2 linked regions of the Elephas maximus indicus genome follow. The protein of the gene in region 1 interacts with the protein of each later gene in a pairwise test. Links are inferred from orthologs where the notes say so. Each region holds a gene or a part of one and is shown on either strand. Other genes may lie near its edges. The genes, in order: DMPK and HSPB2.

What was found.
Region 2: the proteins of DMPK (region 1) and HSPB2 interact in a two-hybrid assay, tested with the Homo sapiens proteins (2 studies listed by BioGRID). The link is inferred for Elephas maximus indicus from reciprocal best matches to the Homo sapiens genes DMPK and HSPB2.

What each region holds. Positions count from the first base shown.
Region 1 is NC_064829.1:103,856,662-103,872,415, reverse strand, and holds the start of DMPK (myotonin-protein kinase), read right to left. Parts: upstream 6,483-15,754; 5' UTR 6,311-6,482; coding exon 6,151-6,310; intron 3,838-6,150; coding exon 3,746-3,837; intron 3,476-3,745; coding exon 3,392-3,475; intron 3,314-3,391; coding exon 3,218-3,313; intron 2,647-3,217; coding exon 2,498-2,646; intron 2,094-2,497; coding exon 2,000-2,093; intron 1,629-1,999; coding exon 1,422-1,628; intron 1,342-1,421; coding exon 1,078-1,341; intron 419-1,077; coding exon 333-418; intron 1-332. Other genes in the region: DMWD (dystrophia myotonica WD repeat-containing protein), read right to left, coding at 7,971-8,250, 8,404-8,645, 9,482-10,759, 13,051-13,233, 14,700-15,146. UniProt on the Homo sapiens protein: Non-receptor serine/threonine protein kinase which is necessary for the maintenance of skeletal muscle structure and function.
Region 2 is NC_064825.1:6,979,872-6,994,998, reverse strand, and holds HSPB2 (heat shock protein beta-2), read left to right. Parts: upstream 1-7,041; 5' UTR 7,042-7,685; coding exon 7,686-7,779; intron 7,780-8,290; coding exon 8,291-8,745; 3' UTR 8,746-8,795; coding exon of another isoform or gene 8,796-8,823; 3' UTR 8,824-8,945; downstream 8,946-15,127. Other genes in the region: CRYAB (alpha-crystallin B chain), read right to left, coding at 3,466-3,669, 5,137-5,259, 6,398-6,598; C7H11orf52 (uncharacterized protein C11orf52 homolog), read left to right, coding at 8,796-8,823, 11,782-11,830. UniProt on the Homo sapiens protein: May regulate the kinase DMPK.

The sequences.
Region 1 (15,754 bases):
GTCTTGGTCCCAAGACAGTAAGATTCCGAAACAGATCCTGCAATTCTACCGTGCGCCAAAAGGAGCCCTGGTGACAAAGTGGTTAAGCCCTCATCTGCTAATGGAAAAGTCGGCGGTTTGAACCCACCAGGGGCTCTGCAGGAGAAGGATGTGGCCCTCTGTTTCCATAAAGATTTACAGCCTTGTAAACCCCATGGGACAGTCCTACTCTGTCCTATGGGGTCACTATGAGTTGGAATCAGCAACGGTTTCCTTGTGCCCAGGAGCCAGGAGGAAACTCTGGACTCCCGGTCCCACTCTTTCTCATGAGACAGCGCAGTGCCAGCTCTTACCTGAGGGCCATGCAGGCGTAGGAGTAGCCCACGAAAGGCAGGTGGATCCCCAGCGGCAAACCCTCCCGAATGTCTGACAGCGTCTCCTGCACAAAACAAGCACAGAAGTGACCAATGGTTGGAAGGGCTGGCCCCCACCCAGTCCAATGTGGGCTGAAATGTCCCCCCTCAAAAAATCCACCCCAACTTGGGACCTATCTAAAGCAGCCCCTCCCATTATTTCTTGTATCCTGTTGCTTTCCTTCAGGGCACCTGACACAGAATAAGTATATACTTCTCTAGACCTGAGGGAATGAGGGCAGGGACCAGGCATTGCCCAGCACAAGAGCACCCACAGTTGAGCAAGCACTCTGGGATAGCTTGGTCAACATTGTGTGAGATAGACAGCTAAAGGAAGGAGGATTCTGTTACGGCCCTCTCCTTCCTCTCTCCCATCATCTTCCAGGTCTCAGCTCAGATAACCCCCTCCAGGAAGCCCTCCCTGACCTTCATTCTGGGTCAGGACCCCTTATGGACTGCCTGGTCCTAGCCTTGATCTCTCCAGGAGTCACTGTCTGGGAATGCAGCTGTGTATGCCACTTGATTGTGGGTCAAGGTCCCCACTGGATCCCCAGCACTGACAGAGCAGATGCTCTGATGAGTTAATGCTCTCAGGGCGCCTGGAGGTGGACACTGTCATTACCCCAACCTTATGGAGGAGAGATGGGGGTCCCCTTTGTCGCGAGCAGGGGTTGCAGGTACCTACCCCGCCCCCGCTCACCATGGTAGTGAGCCCATCCTCCACCACGTCGAAGTTGCACGTGTCCGTAGCGCCCTCAAAGTCTGGTGTAAAGGGGGGCACGCTGTCCCGGAGTCCATCCCAGTCAAGACCAAAAAAGAAAGGATGCTCCCGGAAGTCGCCTGCTCCATCCTGGCCCAGCCGTGCCTCCCGGGGACACAACAGCCTCTGGATGAGATCTCGAGCCTCCTCGGGGATCCCTGAGTCTGTCAGTGGCAGGGACAGGTGCTCCTATCCGGAGGTGGTGAGGGGAGATGTTAGCCAGGGAGCACGTGCAGAGGGGCATGAGGGCTTCTCCGGCTGGCGCTCACCTTGTAGTGGACAATCTTGCAATATGTCTCAGCCGTGGAGTCAGCGTAGAAGGGCGTCTGCCCGTAGAACATTTCATATGCGAACACGCCCAACGCCCACCAGTCACACTCCGGTCCGTAGCTACCAGTTCCAGGCCCACCGCCCACGGCCTGCAGGATCTCGGGGGACAGATAGTCCGGGGTGCCCACGGCCACCAGCGACTGCACCTGCACCACAGGACCAGAGCTGGGATCGAGCCCTGCCCCTCCGGGCTCTGGCTCCTCCCCCATCCTTGAACTCTGCTCCTCCTCCTCCTCCTAACCACGCCCCAAAGGCTTAGTTTTTCCTTTTGTCTGGTCCAACCCTGCCCCACACCCAGTTACTTCTGCTGGGTCACCTTCTTCCATCTCAGAGTTCCATACTACGTCCAGATCTAGCCCCTCCTCTGCTCTGGCTCTGCCCCATGATCTAGCCCCGCCCATGGATCACAAGCCCCACCCACGTAATATAAGTCCCTCCCCTAACCCGGCACCGCCCCACGCCAGAGCCCACTCCTCATTGTGGTCTCAGTCGCCCCTCGGCGGCCGAACCCGCTCACCGTTCCGTCCTCCTGCATCTTCAGGCAGGAGCCGAAGTCGGCCAAGCGGATGTGGCCGCAGCGGTCCAGCAGAATGTTGTCCGGCTTGATGTCTCTGCGTCGAAGGCAGAAGAAGAGAGGGAACGGGAGGGGAAGGGAGAATAAGTGCACCGCCTTCCCGCCAACCCGCCAGACCCCGCCCCTCTAGGCAGCATCTCTTCGGGGCAGTCCTCTCCAGTTCCCACCCCTCCAGGCCCCGCCCCCAGGCCCACCTCATCAGGTCCCACCCCTGTGGGGATTCCACAACTCTGGACACTACTCCTCAGGCCCCGCCCCCAGTGGGCCCCAGAGGTGAAGTCCCACCCCTCAGGGACCCAAGACCCTCCCAAGAATACAACCTTTGCTATCTCTTTTGGGGCCGGCCCTTAAGGCCCCGCCCCCCCGTGAGCCCCATCTCCGTGTACCCTCATCTCTGTGGACCCTCTCTAGGCCCCGCCCCTCAGCCCCAGCCTCGCCCACCTGTGCACGTAGCCCAGCCGGTGCACCGAGTCTATGGCCATAACAATCTCAGCCAGGTAAAAGCGCGCCATCTCGACCGGGATCCGCTCCCCAAACTTGCTCAGCAGTGTTAGCAGGTCCCCGCCCACGTAGTACTCCATAACCAGGTACTGGGAGGGGGCATGTTATGGGGGGTCAGTAGCCCCTCTAGGCCGCTCGCTGATCACCCGGGACAAAGGCTCCCAGAGACGCTCCATCCGCGAACAGAAAACCGGCAACTCCAGCCCCGAGACAGCCCAAGAGATCTCCCAGGCCAAATCTGAGAGCACACCCCGCCCCCAAAATAAAATGTTCTTCCCAGATGTCACCTGAGATTGACTCCCCCAGAGACATTCCGGGGGAAAAAAAAAAGACTCCAGATATCTCCCGAGGCCCAAAGTGCCCCTTGTCCAGTGACCCCACATAGAGACCCCAGAGTGCTAATCCCACTCCAGGTAAGACTTCCCCAGAAAAGACATTATTGCACAGAGGTCCCCAGAATCACCCTGGAGAAACGAGCGGTAAGAGACGTCTCCCACCCCAGGTAAGGAAGGCCTCTCGTTTACCTGAGACCCATTCCTACCACACACCACCACAGGCATTCCCAGGCATTCCCAGAGCTCCTCCCTCTCCCCCTCCCGCCCCGAAACTGGCACCCCGGGCCTGCGGTCCCTCTTTCCAGTCACCGTGGCCCGCGCTCACCAGGTAGTTCTCGTCCTGGAAGGCGAAGTGAAGCTGCGTGATCCAGCGCCGGTCTCCGTTCACCAGCACATCCCTCTCTTCACGAAAACATGACACCTAAGCGGCACACGGAAGAGCTGAATCGGGGTGGGAGGTAAGGTCCTCCACACCCCCACACCCAACCCCGGCCCTCACCTCGCCTCTCTTCAACATGTCCCACTTATTCATGATCTTCATGGCGTACACCTGGCCCGTCTGCTTCATCTTCACCACCGCTACCTAAAGGTCAAAGCAGGGTGGCGCAGGCGGAGGTGGGACGCGGCAGTGGAACCCGAGGGCGAGGCTTGCCCAGGCGGTACTCCACTCCATCCCCGCCCGCTGGGGCCCCGCCCCCAGCCGCCACGCCCACCCCATCAGGTCCCGCCCCCATACCCCGCCCGGTCAGGTTCTAGCACTCAGCCATTCATCAATTTCTAAGGCCCCGCCCACCGCAAGTCCACTCTCGTCTTTTGCCCCGGCTAGCCCTGCCTGCCGCCGCTCCGCTCTCACCTCGCTGAACGCCCCGCGTCCGATCACCTTCAAAATCTCGAAGTCATCCCTCTGCAGTCGGACTTCCTTAAGCCTCGCCGCGATGGGCTCCGCTGAGGATGGGAGGCCGAGAACTGCGTGTCACTGGGGCAGACACTGGACACCCTCGGTGCCCTCCTCTCCCTGTCCCTCGGTCTCCCCATCTCTGCCCCTCGATGACTTCCTCCTTGCCCCTCAGTCTCCTCTCTATGCCTCTCGCTCTCCCCCGTCTCTGCCTCTATGCCTCCCTCTCTCACTGCTTCTCCGTTTCACCTTAGGGACTGCCTCCCACATACCCACTGTGAGAGATTTTGAGGACCCAAAACTCCCTTCCCATCGAGATGAGATGCCTGGGAAGTCCTTTTGGGGACAGGGCATTGAGCCAAAGGGGAACAGGGTGCAAAGTCGGGTAACAAACACTGCAGAAGGGGAGGCCCTGAGGAACAGCAGGAGCAGAAATAAGGCCACAGTGCTTAAGACTTCCCTGGGCTTGGGAACGTCCACCCCCCCACCCCCCCGCCCAAGGTGACGGTTAAAATGCCAGCTCCTGGGCCCCACCCCCAGGATTCTGATTTAGTAAGTCTTGGGTTATGGTCTGGAACATGCGTTTTCATCCAGTATCTAGGTGCAGAGGCAGTGGCTCTTGTACCACACCAGAACACTGGGCTTGGGGATGAGGCCGCAGAAGGCAAGGCAGAGGGAGACAGAGCCAGCGGTGGACAAGCTTACTCCTCCCAGATGCCAGGAGGGCTCTGTGATGACCCTTCATTTACACGTGGGAAAACCAAGGCTCAGAAAGGTGAAGTCACTGGCCCCAGGTCCCACACAGCTGGGGATGTTAAACACAGCAGTGAGAGAGGGGCTCTGGCCTGGGGTGGAGGGACAGTGGGAGAGGGAGGCCTGGGTTCTGAGAAGGTGGAAGAAGCAGGGAACCTGAGGCAGGACGGAGAAAGGGACCAGTACAAGCAAGAATGGGGGAGACTGGGTGCCCTCTGCCAGTAAGAAATAAGGCTGCAGAGAGGGGCCCTACGGGGCTGGGGCAGAGTGGGCCAGCAGGGAAGAGCCCGCCAGTGCCGAGGGACGGGGGAGGGAGGAGAGAGCCAAGACATTGAGCCCTTTTAAGGCAGTGGGAACCCAGGCCCCCTCCCCCGCCCGCCTGAAGGAGGAGGGGCCACTAGATGCAGGCTCGGGCCACAAAAGGAGTGCTCCTTCCTGGAGAGCCAGACCCCCGCCCCCATTAGGCCTCAGTTTACCCTGCCAGCAGGGCTGCCATCCTCTGCAAAAGGGAGGCTGGGAGAGTTCCTAAGGGCTGGGGGAAGTGGGAGAAGTGTTTTCAGAGGCTAAGTGGCCTGGCCCTCTGGCCTCCACCTTCCCACCTGTGAAGTGGGAGGAGGATGATGGAGAGGAGCCCAGCCTGGAATAGAAGGCTGGACACAGGCAAGGAGGGAGCAGGAATGGGTGGGGAGGCAGCAAATATACAGTGACACACAGAGGCCAAGGACCAAGTGCAAGCCACTGAGGGACAGACAAGTGGCAGACACAGAGTGGCAGGTGTCAGAGAGACACAAACCAGAGTCCTGGGCTGGGTGGGAGGGGGGCACACAAGGCAGGAAGCTGAGGTTGCAGCATCTCCCCTCCTGATCCCCAGGCCTGTTCATCCTCCTGGAAGGACCTTGTAAGAGGAACACTGGAGACAGCAGGAAGGTTGGAGGCCCTGAACTAGGAGGATTAGCAGACCAAGTAATCAACTAGTAGGCTAGTAGGGACCAAGGCACTGGGGAGGGGTTGGGATCATGGAATCTATAAGGTGGGCACACCCAGAAGAGCCCCAACTTGGCCCTCCTCAACCCTGGGGGACCGAGGGGGTGCTGGGTGGCGCCTGTCTGCAGAGCTGGTTCTCCCCCAGGGCCAGCCTGAGTCACCACACCCTCCCGTGCCTGGGCACCTGTTGGGGCAACTGGAGAGGCTGGCGCCGAACACCTGCCCACTGGCCGCGCCCCTGGCAGCTGCCCCATACTGTCCCTCAGCGCCTGCCCTGTGCTCTGGAGAACCAGGGTGGGAAGGCCAGAGGGCCCATTTTGGGGGAAGATCCCAGGAGATGGGACTGCCAGCATGGCCCTAGGCCTAGATTTGGGGAGGGGGATGCAGGGGACTACAGGAGGCTGTGCTCAGCCCAGCCTGCCCAGCTCCCAAGCCTGTTCTGAGTCATAGCTGCCCTGGCCACTGCTGGCATATCACTCCAGGACCTGGGTTCAAGGTCTGGGTCTCTGAATGGAACAATCTCCCCCATGCCCACCCTGCATCTGACCCCCCAAAACCAGGCCCCTGCCCCCAGACCCATCTCCAGCCTCTGCCACCCCCCAGCGATCCACGCAGCTGGCACTCACCCCACTGCAAGAAGTCGACCACGTACTTGTCCTGGGCCAGGTCGGAGGCGCCCAGCTCCTGGTGGACGCCCAGGAGAAGGTCGAGCAGGGGCTCCAGCCCCAGGAAGCTGGGGTCCAGCACCAGTTGCTGGAGCTGCCTCAGCCGTACCTCGGCTGACATGTCGGCCAGCACGCACCATGGCCCCCTCCCCGGGCCGGGGGTTTGGGGTCCTCCCGTCACGGGGCCTGGCAGCCCCTGACCATGCCCTGGGGCCCCGGCCGCATGTCTGCCTGTCCCTAACTGTCCCCTGGGCCTCTCTGGCCACTTCTCTCTGCTGCTGAGGCCTCCTCCTCTTCTCTCCACCCCTTGGTCCAGCCCCCCTCCTGCCTCCCAGCATTAACCCCTCACAAGCCAGCCCCCCCCCACTCCCTCCTTCAAGGGCCCCTCTGAACCTTTTGTGTTAAATGGGGGAATGTGTGTAGAATCTAAAACTCTCGTCCCCCCCAATAAAAAGGTGGCACATAGAGGACAACTATGGGTATGACAGCTGCTAAAGATGAGCCCTCCATTCCCTAGAGGGGGCCAACTGAGGCTGAGTGATCCAGGCACCCCCCAGCCCTGGGGTGAAGGGGAGGAGAAAGGGGCCAAGGCCTGGGAAGGGGGGCCCGGAGGCCAGGGCAGCTTCTCTGGTGACTCAGCCATGGATTCCGACTTTGGGACAGTTAAATTTAGCCCTCCGGCCCTTTGCTTTACACTAACTTTTTCTTTTTTGGCAGGAGGTGGGGAAGGAATGGTGAGGGGAGAACCGGGAAGGGAGGCCCTCAGGAGCCAGGACAAGGGGTGACCCATGGGCCAAAGCCTGGGGGAGCCCAGTAGTGGAGGCAGGCCCCCCAGGCAAAGGAGACCCCAAAATAGCTCTTTGGAGCCTGGCCGGGCAGCCACATTCCTGCCCAGGCTGGGATTAGAAACAGAGACATTTCGGGGGGTGGCGGGTAGAGCGGGAAGACACCGCCCCTCAGGCTGCAGACAGCCAGCCAGAAGGGATTTTATTTTTTTTTCTTTCCAGGGGTAGGCAGTTCTCCTGGAGAGGGAAGCTCAGCCCCAGAAGACCCAGATGAGACACTAAGGGCCAAAGACTGGTCCTCCGGTCAGCTGAGAGACCCTTAGCCCAGGGGCCCCCTGCCAGGCACTTCAGGAGCTGCCTACGGGAACCCCCAGCTGGGCAGGCCCCTTTTTAGCTGTAATAGTTCAATTGGAGTTTGGGCACTTAAAACAACTTTGAAAACTCTCATCAAGGGTCCTGGCTGCCCTCTGCCCTTGAGAGAATGGAGGGAGAGGCCCTGCTCAGAACAGGCCAGCTGCTGGCCTGGAGGCATAGAGAACAAGTAACTCCTCCTCCAGGCTTCAGATTTTCCTGCTATTACAAAGGGGCAGGAGGAGATGGGGCAGGACCAGGGCTCATCCTTGGTTAGTGGATTGATGCCAGAAGGGCAGCAGAAGCAGACACACTCCCTCCATACCTCCACGGAAGGGAACAGACACACGCTGGGCCTGGGGCTTTGAAAACGGGAACTTTAGTATAAATAAGAGGTCCTGGGGGACAGGGAGGGCCCCAAGGGGCATCCATAATTTAACACTCTTAGGAAAGGACAGACAAGGCAAGGGGAGGGTGCGGGGCCAGAGAAGGGGCAGCCACCCCCTCCCCTGCCCACCAGGCCAGAGGGGCACAGCACAGAGAGCTGGGGCTCTAGAGGGCTGGGACTTCTCCCTAGGAGTGACCAGTCACATGCTGGGGACAGGGATGAGGGTAACAACACTGATGTCTCAGAGGAAGGGGTCATTATACTTGGCAGTGGGTGGGGGCAAGGCTGAGGCCACATGGGCTACTGTATCCCCCAATGTCTGGGCCAGACTGGGGGACCGTTTGCCCACTGATTTTGTGCAGGGCGGGGACCAAAGCAGTCCATCCGTCATGGTTAGTCTTGTTAATACGTTGATCGGTGAGGTCAGCAGGGAGGTTACGGCGAGGAGACTGGGGGCACAGGGTGGGGACCCCGCCCGCAGTCCACGGCTCACACCACTGTGCCACTGGGGGAGTTGCCGGGCTGGGAGGAGATGCCCTGGGGGAGACGAGGGGGAGACAGGAGGGGTTAGAGACCACCTGTGCTCCGCCAGTCTCTGGGGAGGGGCCAGCCTGGAGTCCCCCACTGCCTTGCCCCGCAGTCCACCCCCGACCCCCAGACTGAGGCCACTGCTCTAGGCTTGGCACTCACATCTCGGCTACCTTCCCTGGCCCGACGTCGGTACTTTTAGACAACAAAGTCCTCGGGTGATCCTCAGCAGAGCGGGCAGGGTTGGGAGAGGTACAGAGAAAAAGGGGAAGCTGGGGTGCCCTTCTGACTTGGGAGGGGTCCCGAGAGTCTGGAAGGGACAGTCCTACCTCTACCACTGACTTGCTGGGTGACCTGGGCCAACTTCCTTCCCCTGTCTGGGCCTCAGTCTCCTCGTCTGTGAACTAGGGAGATAGAGGGGTCTCCTTCAGGGCTTGCCAGGCTCCCCAGACTCCGATGCCCTTGCCTTGGAGACCCTGAGTCTGCTCTCTTGTTCTAGGGACCCAGGCCTCTAGGATTCCAAAACCACTCTTCCAAAGAACAAGGCTGCGGCCCCAAGATCTGACAGCCTGGGCAGCTAAGCCTGAATGCCCAGGAGCTGAGCCTCCTTAGACCACAGCTCCTGGCTTCGGAAGGTGCCAGGCCCCAGGGCTTCTTCTACTGTGAGGTTCCTGAACCCCACACCCACCCTGGGAGGGGGCACATCCACCAGCTGCCCATTTTAAAGCCTCTCTGCTCCAGGTGGTAGGACAGAGGTCAGAGGGTGGTGGCTTGCTGAGGTCACGCCATGAGCAGAAGTGCTGGACGGGATCCCTGGACTCGATCCTACAGCCAGCTGTGCCTTCAGCCACAGGCTTGGAGGCTAAATATCCAAGACCTGGGCTGACAGCTGGGCCCACAGGTTTGGGCTTGCCCACAGATGTGTCTGGTTTGGCCTGCAGTATTTTCTGCTTCATGTGACAAGCGGAGACCTGGCCAGGCTGGGCCATGCTTCCGCCTGATGCCAACTGGCTGCCCTCAGACAGGGCTTTTTAGCCGGCCGCAGTTCCCAACACTCCCTGTTGCCTCTTCTACCCAACTCTCTGCTGACTGATGTAGCAGGGTTTGAGAAGCCATCGCTTTAAGACCTGAGAGGTCAGCTTCTCCTCATCCGATGGGGCTACAGTCTGTGACACGGACAAAGCCCTCAGCCCACATCACCTCCACCTGCCGGGCTCTGGGGAGCTGCTGGGGGACTCACCGCCTTGCCTGGCCGGGCCCAGGTGCAGATGAGGCCCTCCTGGCAGGCTGTGACAATGCAGTCCTCCAGGAAAAGGAGTACTGTCAGGCGCTCCTGGGCGATCTTCTTGCACACCAGCGGCTCCAGCAGTGGCACCTCATGGATACGTGGGCACAGTGCAGTGCCCAGCACCTTGGCTGGGTCTAGCCGGCTGCGGGTGGTGGGGCCGCTGGGCTTGTCCCCGCTGCCACCACTGCCCCCACTACCCCCACGGCTGATGTTGCCCAGGCTGTGATAGCGCTTGTGCTCCTTCTCAGCCCCCCGGTCCCGCCGCTCCTGCAGCGTGAGTGTGGCAAAACGGCCAATGCTGAACGGGGTGCCTGGCTCTGCTGCCGCACTGGGACCACCTGCCTTGCCACCACCCGCTGGATGCGGGAGGCTGTTGGAGCGGGACAGCGAGCGGGGCAGGAGGCCTGGGCCGGGTTCGCTGCCCCGTGAGCTGCTGGTGGCTGGTGGCGTGGTGCCGGGGGTGCCAGGGAGGGTACGGGTACGGGTCAGGGGCGGGTGCGGGTAAAGCACATCTTCAGTGAGGTCCCACAGGCAGAACTGTGTGTCCTGGCCAGCTGAGCCAAAGCGGTAAGTGATGGAGCTGGCCTTGGGCAGTGGGGAAAGAGGGGCACCCCCACCCGAGCTTGTGCCTGAAGAATCTGGCTCCTCCTCCTCCTCCTCGCCGCTCCGGTCCCCGTCACCGCTGGCTGCTGTTGATGCCTCCTCAGCTCGTGTGGTGTAGGGGTCGAAGGCCACAGCATTGACCCAGGACTTGTGACCGTGGCCACGGGCCACCACACGGCCCTCGGTGAAGGACCACACAGTGACCAGGTCGTCTTCACCACCTGTCACCACGTAGCGCCCGTCGGGGCTCCAGCACACACAGAGCAGGCCCCCAAAGTAGCTCTTCATGAGCCCACGCAGGAGCATGGAGTCGAAGTGGAAGACGCGCAGGCAGCCGTCCTGGCTGACGCAGGCCAGGTGCCGGCCGTCAGGTGAGAAGGCAAACTCATTGAGCGGCCCCTCACCCACTGCCCACTTGGCCAGTGGGTTGCGAGGCGCCTTGCTCTTGGCAGCGTAGACGGCAAAGCCCTCGCCCTGCTTCAGGAGGCTATATTGGGGTGGGGCTGAGGCGCACGGGTGGCTGACGTTGTACAGGTACAGGTGGCCGCTGGCGTGCGATGCTAGGAAGAGGCTCTCAGACTCCGGCAGCCACTTCAGGTAGGTCACCTTGGTCTTGTCAATCAGCCGCTGCCAAGAGAGACAGGGTGGCAGCTGGAAGGAAGCAATAAGCCCCTGGCAGACCTCCTGGTCCCTCCAACATGGCCCTCAGATCTGACCCAGCTCACATAGCTGGTGTCATGCCAGGCCCAGGCCCCTCTGAGAGAGAAATTCCCAAACTGAGGGAAGACAGATGGACACCACGGATGGCAGTATAGGCTGCCTATGAGGTGGCCACAGGGAGCTCGGTGGAGCCTCGATGTCCCATCCTTGGAAAGGAGACCACCCTGCCTTCCAGGCTACTGTCTGCTAGCTGTCTAACCCCTTCTGCAATCTCTACTGTGTCAGGTTTAAGGCAAGAAATGTACTCATAGAATGTCAGCTCCACAGAGGAAGGATCTTTGTCTGTCTGGTTCACTGTCCTCTCCCTCGCACATAGAATGGTGCACACAGGAGGCGCCTCAAAAATATTTCCCGAATGAATGAATGAATGACAACTCCATCCTTCCTGCTGCTGAGACCAGAAACCTTCTAGGCATTTTTGTTTCTTTCCCTCACAACTTGCATCCAATCCTTTAACAAATCAACAAATCCTGTGGGCTCAACCTTCAAAATGTACCCAGAATCTGACCTTTTCTCACACCCTCACTACAACCACCATCAACCTGCTCCTGGGTTCCTGCCACGGCCTCCAGCTGGCCTCCCTGCCTCCATGCCTGTGAACTATTCTCCACAGTCGCCAGAGAGCCTGCTGAAATGTAAGTTAGTACATGCCACTGCAGCCTATTTCAACCAGGGTTCCAGAAAGAAAGGCCTACTGCCCTCAGGCACCATTATGTGTAATTAATTCATTGTTTCCCCAGTATCTAGAACATTCCTAGTTGCCTCTCAACCTTGGGAGAATTGAGGAAATCGTCTTGTATATCATTTCTGTACTCTAGGGTTCAGAAGAGAAAACCAGTTTGAGAAAGGCTGCTCCAGAGGCGCCTGTCTCTCTAGGAGTAAAAGCCAGTCCTTTCCATGGCCTTCCCAACCCTACATGACCTGGCCCCTCTTCACCAACCCGCTTCCCCTCAACTCTCACCTAGCCACTCAGCTTTTTTGTTGCCTTGCTTCTGGGCATTTGTGCTAGGTGCTCCCTCCACTCACTTTCCCAGGTAACTTTCCTCACCTCCTTCAGGTCCTTGTTTCAATGTCACCTCCTAGTGAGGCTTTTCCTGACCACCTCATTTAAAACCTGCCAAACACTTCCTGAAGGAGCCCCAGTTGTACAGTGGTTAAAGCGCTCAGCTGCCAACTGAAAAGGTCAGCGGTTGGAATCCACCAGCCACTACCTGGGAGAGAGATGTGGCAGTTTGCTTTCATAAGATTTACAGCCTTAGAAACCCTATGGGGCAGTTCTGCTCTGTCCTATAGGGTCACTATGAGTTGGAATCGACCCAACAGCAAAGGTTTTTCCCTGCTTATCACCTTCTGACATACACTTATCACCTTCTGACATACAATAGACTTATCTGAAAAGTGTCTGCGGCCCCAGCTAGACTGAAAACTCCATGGAGGTAGGGAATTTTGTCTGCTTTGCTCACTGTGATATGACGTCCTCAGTGCAGAGAACGACGTCTGGCACAGAATAAACACTCAATAAGTATTTTCTGAATGGATGAGCTAATGCATTTTTAATACACTCACTCCCTTCAGTCATTCACTCGTTCTGAGAATATTTCCGGAACACCTCCCTCTAGACCAGAGAGAAAGAGATACAGGCCAAGCACAGCCCCTGCTGCAGAGTCGAGCAGTAAGATCATTCACTGACATTTGCACTTGGGCCAAGTCAGCCCAGGACTGAGCACAGTCCGTGTACAAGTTTACAACAACAGTCCTGTCAGGCAGGAAAAGGAATCACCATTCCGCAGAGGAAGAAAACTGAGGCTGAGAGGAACAGCCACTAAATGGCATAGCAGGGACTTGAATCCAAAGCCCACCAAGCATAGAATTTGAAGAGCAAGGGTTCTGGAATCACCCGAGTCCCAAATACTTGCTAGCCTCAGTTCTCTAATCTGCAAAGTGGACATCATGATTCCTTACCCATCAGTTGATAAGAACTCAGGGTTAGCACTGGGCCTGGGCACAGCAGGCACAGCTGTCATTACTGTTAGCCGTTATCACACTCGCTGCTGTCTGTCACCCTACCTCACATACCTCAATTCATCCCCCATCTCTCCTCGTCCTGCCCTCTCAGACAGATGCAGTCCCGGGGCAAACAGTATGTGTGTGCATGTGTGTAGGTGGATGGGAAAACGGACCTGGGGACCCACAATCACCTCCTCATTGAATAGCTTGCTGGTGTCCTTCTTGATGAGATCCAGGTACTGCACCTGGCCAGCCGAGAACCCCACCAGCAGGGAGATGGTCTCTGTGGCAGCAGTGAACTGGTTGAAGTCATGGCAGGTGGGCTGGGTGCCCTTATAGATCCGCTTGTCAATTGGCTTGTTGAGGTCAATGGACTTAAATGATGGGAGAAAGGGGGTTAATGGCTCAAACCACTGAGAGGAAGGAAGAGGGTGCTGAGGTTGGGGAAAACCACGAAGAGGAAACAGGGTTAAATCCCTGAGGGAAGTGGGTAGGTGGATGGTTGAGTGGGAAGGGGCAGGGACAACCACAGACAGGAAGGGGGACCCAAATCAGAGTATTGAGAAAAACCACACAGGAAGAGCCCTCCCCCATGCAGCCACACTGCCTCCCCAAAGCTGAGTCCCCTGCAACCTCAGGGACACCCTTGCCCAGAGCATTAGGGTCCAGAGTCTCTACTGTCCCTGAGCCCCCATTTCCTTCCAGTCCTGCCCTGTAATCTCAGCAACTCCCTTGGGCCCCTGTTGTTGTTGTTAGGAGCTTGGGCCCTAGCGCTACAGTATTCCAGGCCCCCAAAAACCTCAGGGCCAACCAGGACTCTATAACCCAACATCCCAGGGTCTCCTTCCCCTTGGAGTCCCTAAACCTCAGGACCTCCCCCCTACCAACCAATCACAGTTCAGGAACCCAGTAAACTTCACTGTCCCTCCAATTTGAGGAACCTTTATCACCTCTAGGGAGCCCTGGTGGCGCAGTGCTTAAACCTTCGACTGCTAACCAAAAGATCAGCAGTTTGAATCTACCTGCTGCTCCTTGGAAATCCTATGGGGCAGTTCTACTATGTCCTACTGCCTCACTATGAGTCAGAATCAGCTTGATGGTAACGGGTTTGCTTCATTTTGGTTTATCATCTCTGGACTCTGATCACTTCTGGAGACCTCCCTCTCAACTGCTGGGGCCTCATACCCTCTGGGACCTACATCATTTTCAGAGATGCGCATCACACCTGAGGATTTTCCCTACCAGGGTCTCATCACCTCGAATTCTCCTCTCAGCTTAAAGAGTCTCATTTCCACCAGGACCCTCATTACCTCCTGAACCCCAATTTCCTTTAGGATTCCATTCATCTTCTGGATTCCTATTACGGCTAAGGCTCCCCAATCACTTCCAGAATTTCCTCACCTCTGGACTCCCCAAGTCCCAAGACCCACACCCACATCTGCTCCAGACCTCTGGGTTCTCCATCGCTTCTGAGCCTGCATCCAACTCAGGATTCCCCATCGCTGCAGAATGCCTGCACCCCAAAACTGCGGGGATCCCACATCATCTCAGATTCACCATCACCCCCGGAATGCTCACCACCCCAGAATCTCCGCGCCTAACCCGGGAGCCCCCCAACATGACCTGAAGATTATCCACCATCTCCAAGATGCCAGCACCCCCGGCGCCTCCCGTCATGTTTTAGAATCCTGCATCACCTCCAAGAATCCTATCCCCCAGGATGTCCATCACACCTAGGACGCAGATCTCCAGGACCCATAACAATTCCGGAACCCTCCTGGGTCACCTCAGAGTCCCCCATCCCCTCAGTACCCAGGGCCCCACGATGAGGGCCGCTCACCCGTTGGCTCCCGCGGCGGCAGCAGCCGGGGTAGAAATAAAGCTCGCGGCCCAAGTTGAAGCAGACACGGTCTCCCCCCGCGCCGATCCCCGCGGGCGTGGCGGGCGGCTCTCCGGATCCGGCGCCGTCGGGCTCTCCGAGCCGCACTAGGCTGAGGCGCACGGCGGGCAGCGCGGGCCCGGGCCCAGGCCCGGGGCCTGCGGGCGGTGGGGACGGCGCGGGGCCTGCGGCGCCGGGGCCGGAGGCGGAGGCAGGGCCGGGCGGGGGTTGCGGCGGCTGAGCCGGCGCCGGGGTCTGGGAGGAAGCCGGCCCCGACCTGCGAGAGGTGCCGTCCCCGGGGAGCAGTTTGTAGAAGCCCTCGCGGGTGCGGAACTGCGACTTGATCTCGGAGCAGTCTCCCATGGCGGCGCCGGGGCCCGAGCCGCCCTCCGCGCCGCCCGCCGCCATCTTGGGCGCCCCCCGGGCCCCGCCGCTGCCCCACCGCCGTCCGCCGCCGGGCCCCTCGCCGGAAGCCGCGGGCCAGCGCCGGAAGAGGTGGGGTCGTCGCCCGGGCGACGCCTCTTCGATTGGCAACAGGCTCGGAAGGCGGGACCAGCTCCTGTGGTCGCTCGGGTAACGGTTCTGGGCTGTGGGCGGGGCGAAAAGGTAGGCGAGGCTACGCCTTGTTACCGCCTTGTGGTTGGCTGCGGGGGCGGGGCGCGGCGGAAAAGGGTGTGGCCAGTTGGAAAGCACAAGTCCCTAGCAACGGCGCCCGGAGAACGTTTGCCTAGCAACGGAGGGCCCCCGCAAGAGGAGGCCTCGTCCGTATCCTGCCCCTCCCATGACCTCCCAGACGACCCCAGGTGACTCTAATGTTTCCTTAGACTCCTAGCGTGCACCCTCCTGACCGCCACTGTGTTCCAATGACATCCTAAAGTCCCCAAGTGACCACGGCATCTCCGACCATTCCTCCCACTATTGATGACCTCCAAATCACCACTGACCCCTAATGTCTCCACAAATCTTCAAGGACTTCATCTGACCAGCTATTGATTAATGCTAACCCCAAACATTAT
Region 2 (15,127 bases), on another chromosome or scaffold:
AAGTAGGATGTAGAACATTTTCTTTATAAACTATGCTATGCCAGTTGAGCTAGATGGTCACCAAGACCGTGGTCCCCAGGCCTCAGCCCAGTATTTCAGTCCCTCAGGGAGTTTGGATGTGCCTATGGAAACTCTGATGGCGTAGTGGTTAAGAGCTACGGCTGCTAACCAAAAGATCAGCAGTTCAAATCCATCAGGCGCTCCTTGGAAACTCTATGGGGCAGTTCTACTCTGTCTTATAGGGTCAATACGAGTCAGAATTGACTTGATGGCAATGGGTTTTTTAATGGAGCTTCCATGACCTTGCCTTGTACAAGTCGTGCCAACTTCCCCAGTATTGTATACTATTTTACTCTTCACCAAAATTACCACTTATCTATTGTCTATTTAGTGTTTTTCTATCCCCAGTCCTCTCCTCCCTCGTTGTAACCATCAAAGATTGTTTCTTTTTGTGTGTAAACTTTTTCATGAGTTTTTATAGTAGTGGTCTCATATAATAATTGTCCTTTTGTGACTGACTTATTTCACTCAGCATGTTGTGAGATGCTTCGCAGATTCATCATTGTTCTTTACAGTTGCATAGTACTTCATTGTGTGTATGACCATAGTTTGTTTATTCATTCCTCTGTTGATGGGCACCTAAATTGTTTCCATCTTTTTGCTATCGTGAACAATGCTGTAGTGAATATGGGTGTGCATATATGTCTCTTCAACAATGGCTCTTATTTCTCTAGGATATACTCCTAGGAGTGGGATTGCTGGATCATATGGTATTTCTATTTCTAGCTTTCTAAGGAAGCACCATATCATTTTCCAAAATGGTTGTACCATTTTACGTTCCCATCAGCAATGCATGAGAGTTCCAGTCTCCCCACAGCCTCTCCAACATTTGTTATTTTCTGTTTTTTTGATTCATGCCAGTAATGTCAGGGTGAGTCTGAAGATTTTTTTTAAAACATAAATATCATTATCTAAAAGTCAAGTGTGATTTAAGACCAAGTTATTAAAATTATGTCTGCTTGAGATCACCCCTTATAATTCACTAAATTGATTATAGTTAATGCAACCTTAAAATTATATCAGAAATCATTATTTTGATACACAGTTCCTAGAGTGTTCCTTAGTTTTTTACACTATTTAAGTCCTACCAGTAACAGAAAACTCATGTCCAAATAAACAAAAATAAGACATGAGACTTCTTGATATAGGTTCAAGAATTGGTTAATTCAGTAATTCAATGATCCGTCAAGGACCGAGAGTCATACCATATTCCTGCTCCCTTCTTCAGCATATCACATTTTGGGTGTCACGTTCTCATGCCCCAACATCCGGAGACATTCATATACAAAAAGATCGCTTTTTGTATATGAATCTTTTTTAAAAGCTTAGAAGCCTTGGGACTCGGGCAGACATGACTCTAGCAGCATGCTTGTCCATTTTCCTTCTTTTGTCTGTTCTGTAATATTTCCTTGAACTCCGGCATGCTTGTTGGCTTCCCGCTTTTGCCTTTTTTAATATATTTTGAATAAAACTTTCTTTATGCTTAAAAACAAACAAACAGAGAAGCCTTTTCTAGGAGCTTCTCCAGCAGACTTCCTTCATGGCTTATTGATGCAAATTGGGTGATAACCTTTCAAAATCAGTCACTAGTAGAGGAAACGGAATTTCCATGATTTATTTGGACTAATCAAGATTGTCCACCAACAGTCAGAACTTTTTTCACCTTCCCTGAGCACATGGCCTAGGAAGAATGTAATAAATACCTAAACCATTCTGAGGTACTGTTGACAAATTGAAGGGGGTAAGTAGCTGTTGGGTAGGCAGCCAGGAGTGTCTACAACAGAGCCACAAAAATCATTAAGTTTAGAAGAATCTGACTTCTGGCTAGATCATAGCATTTCAGACTATTAGGAAATTGTTATTAACGACATTTTGAACCTGTATAGATTTACAATTTATATTGCCTTAGTTCCATGCCCTTGCATCATGAAAAACTTAGACAACTATTTTGTATAGAATATTTTAAAAGCTGTAGGCTTTGTGAGGGCAAGAATCGCACTTTACTTCATGGTCAGGTAGCAACTCTTGAGAAGTAAGAAATTCTGAAGCTGCTAGAGGAAAAATTAGAGTAATCTCTAAACGCTTATGCCAGATAACCTGTTGTTGTTGTTGTGTGCTGTTGATTGGATTCCGACTCACAGCAACCCTATAGGACAGAGTAGAACTGCCCCCATAGGGTTTCCAAGAGGCGGCTGGTAGATTCCAACTGCTGACCTTTTGGTTAGCAGCCTGAGCTCTTAACCACTTTGCTACCAGGGCTCCCAGAACTGCCCCTAGCAGGCCTGTTTTTCATTAATTGGGTTAGAAGTTTTGTCTAGACCCACAAAAGTGAAATGGAGGTATTTTTGTAGGATAATATCTTTGTTTAAACTAAATAATAGAATCACTTATTGATCAGTTAGTAATTCTGAAACTTAACTTTCTCCTTCTGGGTCATCAGACTGGATGTCTCCCAGTCTTAGTTCAATAGGCGTTTGCTGGGTAATTCAGAGACCGCATCTGAGAGGCTTGTTCAGTGATACTCACCCAAGTCCTGTTTATTGCCCTTGTGAATCAGCTGAAGGCAATGCTTATCGGTAGGAAAAGGTCAAATAACACTGCAGGCACATCTACTCCCCAGTGACGTAATTAATATTAGCCACGTACTAAGATCTTTTGTATGTTGTTTTCCAGAGTTTACTCCAGTTGTTGAAACTGAGGGCTAAAATCAGAGAGGAATAAGAGGAACTGACATTCTTAGAACTCTGGCAGGGGCTTTACTTACTCCTTCTCCTTAATTTACCCCTTCGAACAAAAAAAAAAAACCTAAGCCCATTACTATTGAGTCAATTCTGACTTATGGTGACCCTACAGGACAGAGTAGAATTGCCCCATAGAGTTTCCAAGGCTGTAATCTTGACGGAAGCTGACTGTCACCTCTTTCTCCTGTGGAGTGGCTGGTGGGTTCAAACTTCCAGACTTTCAGTTAGCAGCTGTGTGCTTAACCACTGCGCCACCAGGGCTCCTTCCCTTTAGAACAACTCTGTACAAATCACTGCCCCATGTTATAAATAGAAAACATGAAAATCAGAAAGGTTAAGGTACTTGCCTATATTTTACACCATTAGTAAGTGGTAGAGCCAGCCTTTGTGACTCTAAAATCCCCCCCCAAAAATTTTTTTTTCAGGAGCCCCCAAAATCATAATGTGACGATTAAATACACATCTGTTGGTATTTGTACATGTACTTTTTTTAATACATGGTGAATATTCAAACACAAGACAGTTATCTGTTGCTGAATCATATTTTATTAGCTTAATAACGGGCCTGCCCTTAGCATTAATAAGTTTCAACACTAGTCACAAGGCTTTCATTCAGTGGTGGGGAAGCTTCTTGTTTTAAAAAACGTAATTAGAGAAAGGGCATCTATTTCTTGGGAGCTGCAGTGACAGCAGGCTTCTCTTCACGGGTGATGGGAATGGTGCGCTCAGGGCCAGGGGCCTGTTTCCTTGGTCCATTCACAGTAAGGACCCCATCAGATGACAGGGATGAAGTAATGGCAAGAGGGTCCACATCAGCTGGGATCCGGTATTTCCTATGGAACTCCCGGGAGATGAAACCATGTTCATCCTAATCCAAGGGAACGAGGAAAGAAGCAGAGAGATAAGAGCAGGAAATAATACTTCTCGCCAAAACCTCAGACAGCCCCGCTCCCCTTAAAAAAAAACCTGTTGCCATTGAGTTGATTCCGACTTATAGCAACCCTGTAGGAAATCCCATAGGGTTTCCAAGGAGTAGCTGGTGGATTTGAACTGCTGACATTTTGGTTAGCAGCCAGGCTCTTAACCACTACACTACCAGAGCTCCTTACTCCCTTTAGGTAGAACCAAATGCCATGGCAGCATGATGAGAAAAAGCTAAATAGCTGTTCATTTCAGTTTGGTGCTAAGACAAAGTCACTTAGTGGTCACTGCTACCAATAAGAGTCTGAGAAGTCTGAAACACCCCCAGAACTTCATAGTTCCCTAGACCCTGAGGCATGGATATGTTTAGGTATATTTCCTAAAGATTTAGATCAATGTTGGCTGGGCCTATAGGATATGAATCTCATTTCAGCAGGCCAGTCCCTGAGGAAGCCCAGAAATTGTCCTTACTCCAGGAATGTTCCAGACCAAAAAGACTGCTGCTAAAGAACAGTTACTCCATCCAGGGAGACTGTGACCCAAACTTAAATCGAGTGAGCAAAGCTGAATCAGCTTGAGGGTGTCAAACGGTTCTGTTTGATGTACAAAGTTCTAAGTTCTCACTAATTGGTGAGAAGCATGTTCATTTAAAAATTCTCCCAAGGAGTAACAAGAAGCTGTTCCATTCTTCAGAATCCCCAAAGAGTACTTAGCCCTAACCCTTATACTTGCTAAATCTCAAGCATTTATTCAGGTAGACTTTCAGTGAACTGATTACCAGTGGGTTCTAGGGTATTAGGAGCTAAGTACAGTTCTGAAAAGTAGACAAACCAAGTAGTTCAGCAATAAGATGGGTTTAAGCAGTAGATTCCTGAACATCTAAAGGAGTCACAAACTCAAATGCCTTTAGGGTGGATGCAGTCAATGTCATTATGTGAAGCAACCAGGTGTCTGACAAGCGCTATGCCTAAATCAGGGGTTCCCAGCCTAGACTCAACACTGGATTTACCTAGTCAGCTTTAAAAACTACTTACACGTGGGTCCCACCCCTAAATATTCTGATTTAATTAGACTGGAGTGCACCTGAGCATTGGGATTTTTTAAAACTCCCCTGATTCTAATTGGCTAAGGCGGAGAACCACGGGCTTCAATGAAGAGTGAACATTCCATACATCCCCTCTAAGGCAATCATATCAAAACAAACAACACAGGCCACTTCTCTGCCCCCCAAAAACAAAAAACCTGAAACAAAACAGGTTTGTCACTCATTTAGTCTCCTAGCTACCGATGTGTGACCCTGATGTAGGCCCTTACGGCTTGGGACTGGGATGTTGCCAGCCTCAGAGGCTGATGGCACTGCCTGGCATAGAGCAGGCACTGAATGAATGGGTGGAACTAAACACAAGCTACATACCTGGCGTTCTTCATGTTTGCCATGCACCTCAATCACATCTCCCAGCACCTTGACCTTGAGATCCTCTGGAGAGAAATGCTTCACATCCAGGTTGACAGAGAACCTGTCCTTCTCCAGGCGCATCTAGAAATAGCAGAATGGGGCACAGGAAGAAGGGATAGAAGAAAAGATGCCAGGAATGTTAATTATCTTGGTGTTAATCTCATTCTGTAGAGTTGTTTTCTGTCCAGGTAGTTTATCTTCTTCTTTTTTAGCCAAAAATCTCTTTTTGAATAAGTATGGCTCTCTGGGGTAGCCACCACAGTGGTACCCAAAGCATAACACTTGGTTATCAAGCCCAAACTTTATTTACAGGGACAGGGATGAAAGACAGGCCACCCAGGGGGACTTAACAAATCACAAGGACGGGCCTGGCATGGCTTCTGCTGCTGCTTAACCCCAATGCCTGCTCTTGTCATTTGTCTGTAAGACAAAGGCCCCTTTCTTCTTGCTCGGGTCTCTGCCAAGTTTCCCACCCACTCAATCTGGAATATTCTGCTGGTCCTGTTTGTCCTTCCAACGCCCTTGCTCACTCAGCTACTGTTTACTCATACTTGAATATTTTTAAACCAGAGTGTTATCTGTGACAGCTTCTGCCAACCATATCTGTTCACCCCGTACTCCTCCCACTCTTTTAGGACAAGTGAGGGGGTCCCAAGACCAGACCTACATTCCTTCCTCATAAGGCTTAGATACAGGCAGTGCCCAGTTACAACTATAAGAAATGCGGAAAATCACAGAAGAGGGAATAGAAAGGAAGAAAATAATGGTTGTTGTCTCCGGTTCCACCCAACAGGGATGAAAGCTCAAGCTGAGGGAGGACTGTCTCCTGGCTCTGAAACTTGAGATGATAAAATCTGTCAGGAGTATGATACATCATAAGAGGTGAGCAAAGAAGTCTGGAGGCAGCTTTTCTACTGCAGATCTTTATGAACCGAATTAGAGAAGGGGCATCCTGCTTGGAAGTTAGCAGACAGAGGATGATCTTCATAGTGCACGGAGAAACGTAATAAATAGGATGCAGAGAAGCTTCAAATAGAAACAGGTGACTGGGAGAGGTGGGTGCTAGGGACCTTATCTTTCTTCATGTCTGGACACACATCTAACTGAAACACTTATGAGACTTGAGCATAATCAGGTTTAGTCAGGGAAAGAAAGGAAAAAAGAAAGAGAAGAAAAGTTCCAGGAAGAGCTCTCCCGTTCTGGCAGAGAGGAGACTCACCTCTGAGAGCCCAGTGTCAAACCAGCTGGGTGCCCGCAGAAAAGAGGGTGGTCGAAGATAGAAGGGACTCAGGGAAGTAGCAGTTGGGAAGAGATCAGACTCCAACAGGTGCTCTCCAAAGAACTGGTCAAAGAGGCGGCTAGGGGAGTGGAAAGGAAAGAAGGGGCGGCGGATCCAGGGATGGTGGATGGCGATGTCCATGATGGCTAGGTGAGTGTGGGGGGTCAGCTGGCTGGTCAGCTCCTTCAGCCGCAGCTACAGCCAGCCCCTTATATATGCAGTCTTGTGAAGCTTCTGGAATGGTGATGTCAGGGGTTTTATTATCCCAGCTCACCGCCCGTTCATGGAGACTTGTGATCGGGGATTTGGCAGTGTGACACATACCCAGTACTCACTGAGCTAAGAAAAGAGAAACACAAACACGTCTGAGCTGGCCAGTAACTTGTCCTGGTCTTGTTTCACTGGCTTTCTCATCTACATCCCATGGCAGCCCCCCACCCCCCCACTTCTGTTCTTGGGGACTGGGACAGAGTCAGGAATCCCAGGCAGGCGGGTGTTGTGCCCCTCCCCCTCCTCTCCGGTCTTGCATGCCAGGGGAATCGGGCCAGCAACTATCTTGGGCCTGTGCAGGGACTGGAATCTTCGGAGGCTGTGCCCCAGGAACATTAACTCTTGTGGGTCCCTGAAGCAGTGATCATGTCAGTGCCAGGCGTCTGCGTGGGTTTCCCTGGGTTGACCTGGGTTCGGGAGAGGACCCTGACTAATCTGGGCAGGAAAACCCTCTCCCCACCCCACACCACCCCCATTAAGCCCACAGAGAGGGTAGAAAAGTTTCTTTCATCTTTCACTCTGCCAGGCTCAACAGAACTTTACATCCAGGAGTGCTTTATGAAGTACGACACACTGTGCCTGCGACTGAGGAGGAGAAAGGGTGGTGTGGAAAATGTGCAAACTGTTCGTGAGGGTCTCAGCCGTGCCTCTCCTTAGCTCCGGCGCCAGCCTCCCTTCCCCTAGCCCTCTCCCGAGCCAGGACCCCCAGCTGTCATCTCAAGCACCCTGCGACAGCTGAAGGGGGGGAGGGGTCGGGGGTCCGGACGGCGCTGGCTTCACACTCTTCGCCCGCACTCAGGCCCCCGCTCCCGCCCTCCCTCCAGAGGCTCGGCACTATTTTGGGTGGTGTAGACCCCGCCCCCACCTCCGACCGAGCTGCTCTTCGGGCAGCAGGAGGGGTCGCGCTGCGCCTGTTGGGGCTGCAGCTCGGAACAGGGCCGCCTACGCGTCTACAGCCATGTCTGGCCGCTCGGTGCCGCATGCCCACCCCGCCACCACCGAGTACGAATTTGCCAACCCGAGTCGCCTGGGTGAACAGCGCTTCGGAGAAGGTATGGCACACACGCCACCCCCAGCCTCCCACCCCCACCTCCTGAAATTCTGGGCTGACCTCCCAACATTACTGGCCTCCACCCCACTTCAGGCTTAACTGAACTCCTGGGGCGAGCCATCTCCCACCCCAGGCTGCTTTCCCCCACCTCCAAGTAAGAGGGCTCTTTCTCTTTCTTACTGCCCTCAGGACAGACTAGGTGCCACGATACTCAGATCCCTGCCCCTTGCCCCACTTGGTGTGCCTGCTTGTTCCCCATCTATCCACCCTGCCCCAGTTTGGTTTACCCTCCCTCACCCCATCTCATTTCCTTTCTCAGTTCTGTCTCCCCAGCTGCCTCCTTCTCTTCCCAGTCACCTTGTCCCTTTCTCTTCCCCTCCCTGCTTCTCCTGAATCCCTCCTGTGGTCCCAATCCGTCCTCATCTCTTGATCAATTCTCAAAACATCCCTGTTCCCACCTCACCTTCCTCATCCTGCTTCTTTCCTTCTCTTTCTCTCTCTCTGCCCCTCAGGCCTCCTGCCAGAAGAGATCCTGACCCCTACCCTCTACCATGGCTACTATGTCCGGCCGCGGGCTGCCCAAGCTGGGGAGGGCAGCAGGGCAGGGGCCTCAGAGCTTAGGCTCAGTGAGGGCAAGTTCCAGGCATTTCTGGACGTAAGCCATTTTACCCCAGATGAGGTGACCGTGAGGACTGTGGACAACTTGCTGGAGGTGTCTGCCCGGCACCCCCAGCGCCTGGACCGCCATGGCTTCGTGTCCCGGGAGTTCTGCCGCACCTATGTCCTGCCTGCTGATGTCGACCCCTGGCGGGTCCGTGCTGCTCTCTCCCATGATGGCATCCTTAACTTGGAGGCCCCTCGGGGTGGGCGACATTTGGACACAGAGGTCAATGAGGTCTACATCTCCTTGCTCCCGGCACCTCCTGATCCAGATGAAGAGGAGGAGGTGGCCGGAGTTGAGCCCTGACTGCCACAGACCCAGCACCCAGCAAATCCCTTTTTACTTCCCAAGGCGTGATGCTAGCAGCTGCCCACCATCCCAGAGGTAGCAGCATCCTTGGGGGAAGGGAAAAATGCATGGTCCACAATATATTGTTTGGTCCCTTGGGACGTGTCATAGCCTTTGGCTTAGTTCTGGGTAGAGTTGAATAAACCCAAATCTCAGGGCTTTGTTTGTGCTGCTCCCTATTCTGTGGCCTAGAGGAAGGGATGAGCAGGGAGGGAGGAGGTCATAGCTGGCTAGACATAAAGCACCTCAGTTAGATGTGCCATCGTCACACTTGGATGCTGAGATCACGCCCGGAAGCTGGCATTGGCTCCAGATCAAATTCCTAGCCATAATTTTCTCACAATGCAACAAAAGAGAGAGTGATCCTGGGAGGGGAAAGGGATATGCCATCCAAACAGTCCAGAGGACACTGTCTGAGCTGGTGATTAGAGACACAAAAACAAGAGTCTCCAGACTGTCTGGCCCTTTTTGGGTAGGGGTTGGGAAAACTGGCTGGAGAGAGTTGCCTAAAACAAAATACTTCATTTTCTCATGCTGAGGTCTGTTCACAGGAAATGGTCTCTGATTCCGAGAGACTAAATATGCATAGACAGGGACACAGACACAGGAATCCCTACCATTATCACCACACCACAAAGATTTCTCATGCTCCGCACAGAGGAGGCCCAAGAAGGAAAGCATTTGTCTCTAATCTTGGAACATCCAAAGAAAGACAGGAACTATCACATCACCTCAGCCAGTCAACCCAAGACCCAATGCAGGGGATCTAGGGCTATAGGGTCGCTATGAGTCAGAATCAACTCAATGGCAACAGGACTATTAGTGTAATAAGACAGAAAAAAAAAAAAATACAGTGGTGGTGACTGCCAGGGAAGCTTGCCTTGGACGTCTAGTACTAAGTATAGTCCTAAGACTAGGGGCATGGTGTATTTAGGAAAGCCTAAGGTCATGACCCCTCAGTCATGCTTTGCAGTCAAGAGAGCATGCATGCGTAAGATTTAGGGGGTGTGCAGAAGACCTCCCTGCCCCAAAACACATCTATGGTAAAAAAATACCTCAAATTCTTCCTTTCAAGTGGTGGTTCTTAACCTTTTTGGGTTAGAGACCCCTTTGAAAATCTGATAAAAGCCATAAACCCTCTTCCCAGAAAATGTACATGCCCCCAAATTTGGCTTTCTCATCCCTCTTAGCGATTCATGGACCACTGGGGTAAGGACCCTCACTTGAGGAATTCAATTTTTGGTTAAAGGTTGCCTTCTATTAAAAACGTAAGCATGCCTCAGAAAAATAACTATATTTTTGCTTTTTCATTCATTCAACAAATATTTATCAAGCCCCAGATAATACATCCTAAAGGTTATACACTGTAAATATAAAAAATATGTATGTTATTCTCTACTATCAGGAATCTTACTGTCTAGTTGAAAAAAGAATTTTTAAAAAGGGATCCATCCTACTCAGACTTCAACCAGAACAGCTTTGATCTGTTTTGTAATTGGGGTTTTGACACGAGCTTTATAGAAAAGATTGCTTAGCTAGAAAAAATATGAAAACCTCTGATTTAGTCCAATTCGTCACCATATTCTTCTCACATTATGAGCCAACTGTTGCTGGGACATTTTGAGTGACAGAGAACTTAAAACTTCATCTAGTAACACACTCCATTTTTTTTTTTTTTTTTTTTTTTTGATGTATCTGTTACAAGTTCTTCCTTCTATTGAACCAAAATCCTCATTTCAGTAACTTCTGCCTGTTGATTCTGGTTATGTCCAGAAAATAAATGCGGTTCTTCTTTCACTTGAAAATCCTTCAGGTATTTAAAAATAACCATCCTCTCCTCCTAAGGCTTACGTTTTCCCAGCTAAACATAACTAGTTCTTTAACTGTATCATATAGCAATTCCCATACTCTTGAACACATTGCCTTTTCGTAATGTAATTTGAAATTCAGCATCTAGACCTGAAAGTATTATTTCCAGTCATGGAATGGTATAGAGTTCAGTGGAAGAAAAAAATCCCTGTGTTTAACACTCTAGATTTCTATTAATGCTGCTTAAAGTACATAGATTTCCTGGCTACACAATACACTGTTAGTACCTTTAGAGTTTTTGGTCATCTACGATATTTTAGGGGCTTTCCTTTAGATTACAAAGGATATGGCTGGAAAGGGATCAGATTGTTTATGGTTTTGAGTGCCAGGCTAAGAAGTTTGAACTTTACTCTGTAGGTAACAGGAAATCAGTAATGGCTTTGTGGGGAGGGAGTGGGGAGTGTAATAGGACAAAAAGAATACAGTTAATGGCAGAATACTGAGTGGATTACAGGGAGAAGCCGGCCATGAGATAATAGTCTAGTGCCATGATCTAGGCACAAAACTAAAAAAAAGTAACATAAAATGCTTTATCATCTGAGAGTTAGCAGAGACACTAGAATAATAAGAATTATAACGACGTTGTTGTTAGCTGCCATGGAGCCGGCACGACTCATGGGAATCCCATGCACAGTGGAATGAAACAGTGCCAGGTAGTGGACTAGAGCTTTATATACATTATTTTATTTAATCGTCACCCCAATCCTATAAGGTTGTCACTCTTATTATTCCTGTTTTTCGTAAAGAAAGAAGATGGGGAGGAGTTAAAGAGTTCAGGGTACTCTGGAGTGCAGGCTGGGTGGTGGTTCCTGAATATCCGTAAACCTGTTGGCGGGCCAATTCGATTCTCAGCAAACCCACAGGACAGAGTAGAACTGCCCCATAAGGTTTCTGAGGCTGTAAATCTTTGCGGAAGAGGACTGCCACATCTTTCTCCTGCGGGGGGGAGGGGGGCTGTGAACCTTGACCTTTCAGTTAGCGGCCGAGTGCTTAACCACTGTGCCACTAGGGCTCCTCCCAAATATCTATAAGGGGCACATAAACACCTAGGCATCTGGGAAAGAGAGTAAAGATGGGGGCGAGAGCTCTGAAGACAAACCTTACACGTTTCATAAATTCTCCTAGAGCCCATATCTTCTACAGAAGAATTTGCTCCACTGCGTCCTAGCTGCTGGTGAGTGTGAAATGAGTCTAACTTTGGCTTATTGGGTTGAGGGGTAAGTGGAGGGTCTTTGGTTCTATACCAGGGATGGGGGCGTGATTAAGTAGTGCTGAGGCCAATACAATCATAGAATCATACGCTTTTAGACCAAAAAGGAGATTAGAAAAAGAGTTCAGTTCTCCGTTTTATAGTCCTAGAAACCTAGGACCTAAAAGGTTAAGTGATTTATCCCTTAATGCTGATAGCCAGGGGGAATATACAAGGAATCCATTTCCCTAAATTCAAGGATCCTAGAGACTCCAGTATTCAAACCCAGATTCTGGACAAGAATGTTAAGGAACCGGCACCCGTAGTTACCTGCCAAGTGAAACTCATTTAACCTGAGTGGCGCTGAGGAAGATAAGGTGGAACCCTCTTACTCCACTGTAGAAGAGGCATTTCAAGAACAATGTGATGTAGTGGGAAAGCATTTCCGAAGGAAACTCAGAGCCCTTTTCTATCTCAGGTTTCTTTTTATTGAACCTTGAAGCTCAAAGTTGATGGCTTCATCAAAGGAGTCCCAAATCCCAAAGGTGAGATAGCTCTCACCTGGAGCCTGGTGTGTGCTGATCTGACCTTGGCTGGGAATAGAGTCACCTGGGAATCCTTCCAGCAGGTGGCTTCCAAAGTCCAACCTGCTAGGTTGAAATCTGACACTGACAAAAACTCCCCGCCAGCTGCCAATGAAAACTAAACTGGGAAGCAGGAAATGCATAAGCCTCTTAATGTAGAAAAACAGCTGGGCTCCCTCGGAGACCGCGCACCATGGGAAACCGACTCTGCTGCGGGAGAAGCTGGTGAGTACGGGGAGAGAGCGGAGGAGGGTAAAAGTCTCATGTTGTTGGATGTGGAGGTCCTAAGCTGAGAAGAATACCTTCCCCTTCATTACAAGCGTGAGTGAGAGAGAGCCTGGAGATAATTCTCTGCCGACCTCCCACTGCCACCTCCCTCTGCTGGCACTTCCTGATTCTAGCACCAGAGCAGCACCCCTTTCTGTGATTCCTCCTTTCAGGAGATCGCAAAACACACAGCCAAGCCAGCTGTCTAGAATGGCCAGAGCAGGGCTAGAATGGTGAATAAGACATTGTTTCTCTTTGTCATCCTCTTTCTCCCCTTTTCTTTTTCTCCCTTTTCTCCTTCCCCAGAGATGATAATAGCTATAGCATTTGAGAATTTACTCTGTGCCAGGCACTTTACAAATAATCTCGTTTAATTTTCACAACTCCGTGAGGAAGTGGTTTTCCCCTTCCCCCCATTTTACAGTTGAGGAAGCTGAGACTCTGAGAAGTTAAGTAACTTGCTCAGGGCCACATGACTAGTAAGTAAGTGAACCAAGATTCCAACCCAGGCTTGTCTTACTTAAGAGCCCCAACTTTTAACCACTACATAATATTGCCTTCCAGAGCAAGCAAATCAGTTTGGAGAAATGTTTATTTAAAAGGGCAGAAGTGGGAAGAAGGAGATTATCCAAAGAATATCTGAATGTATCTTTCACACTTAATTGCTGGGTGACCTTAGGCAAGTCCCTTAACTTCTCCGTCCCTCATCTGTAAAATATAGCTAATATAACCCATCTTGTTTATATCATAAACTTGTTTTGAAGAACGAAGAATATGGTGTATGTGAAAATCTCATAATAAATTATTTGTGGTAGTCTTGTTCTTTCCCAGAGTTGTTATCACTTTAGACCCTTGGGCCTGGTTTTATCCTGTCCACTGCCTTCTTGGCTATACCATTCCATGCCTGGGTCAGATCTCGAGGATGTTTTATTTATAAATAAGGTATCATTATATTTAGATACAGGTGAGGCACACTGGAAAGTACATAAGATTTGCAGTCAGTACATGGGATTTATGTTCATTTCCTACTATTCAGTCATGTATCCATTTATTAAATAAATATTTACTGAATACCTACTGTGTGCCAGGTGCAGTGTTAGATCCAGAAGACATAGTAATAAAAAGGAAATTTGGTCCTTGTCTTTGAGTAAGGCATCAAAGTCCTAGGGCCTTAGTTGGCCCATGTAAAATGGAACAATAATATGTGTTTCCCTCAGTGTTGCCAGGATTGAACAAAAACATATAAAGCTCTTAGAGCACTCTTTAAACTATGAGATGTCCTCCAGACATAGGACCTCTGTTGTTTTTGTTGTTGTTAGGTGCTGTCCATTCGGTTCCAACTCATAGCAACTCTATGCATAACAGAAGGAGATGTAACAGTTCCTTTCGCTCCTGCTCCCTTTTCCGAGTCTTCACCTACTTCATTATTGGCTACCTCTTTCCCTGAGTTGTAATAGTCCTGGTAGTTGTACTAGTCAGCTTTTACTGAGGCTCATTATATTCCAGGTGCTTGTATTTATTATTTTATGTAATCCTTACAATAATCCCATGAGGTTTAGGTTCTATTATTTGTTCATTTTATTAACGAGAAATCAGAGGCTTAGAGTGGTTAAAAACTTGCTAAAGGTCACACAGCCAGGAAACATAAACGTTCTGACGCTGGAACCCGTACTGAAACCACTAGACTCTAGCCAAAATCTTTTTTTTTCCTCATAGAATATTAATAAGATTGTGTAAAAATTGCTCTTATCTATTTCTCATTATCTCAGTACACTTCCGGACACTTAAAGATACTGTGACAATTTCAGAGTTTACAAAAATATTTTGGATTTTAATTTTTTTTCTGATTACAAAAGTCATAACACACATTTACTGAGGAAAATTCGGAAAATACCAAAAAGTGGAAAATAAGCAAACTATAAATATAAGCACTCAGAGGTGATAGTCAGGAACATTTTAGCATACGTATTTCCATGTAATCCTTTTTGAATGCATGTGTGCACAATTTTTATTCCAAAACACATCTTACATCTTTTTTTTCTAACTTAATAAGAAATAAATTTATCCATGATGACAGAGGTTCTTCCAACATCTTTTTTAAAATGGCTGCATAGTGTTCTACTGATTGGATATACTATTTATTTGTTCAATTCCCAAATGTTGGACCTTTGACATATTTTCAATTTTTGTGTTTTTCAATAGTACTACAACGAGCATACAGATTTTCACATATCTCATTATTTCTTAGGATACAGAATTGCTACATCATAGGGGGAAACCCTGGTGTTGTAGTGGTTAAGAACTACAACTGCTAAGCAAAAGGTCAGCAGTTTGAATCTATCAGCTGCTGCTTGGAAACTCTATGGGGCAGTTCTACTCTGTCCTTTAGGGTCACAATGAGTCAGAATCGACTCGACAGCAGTGGGTTTTT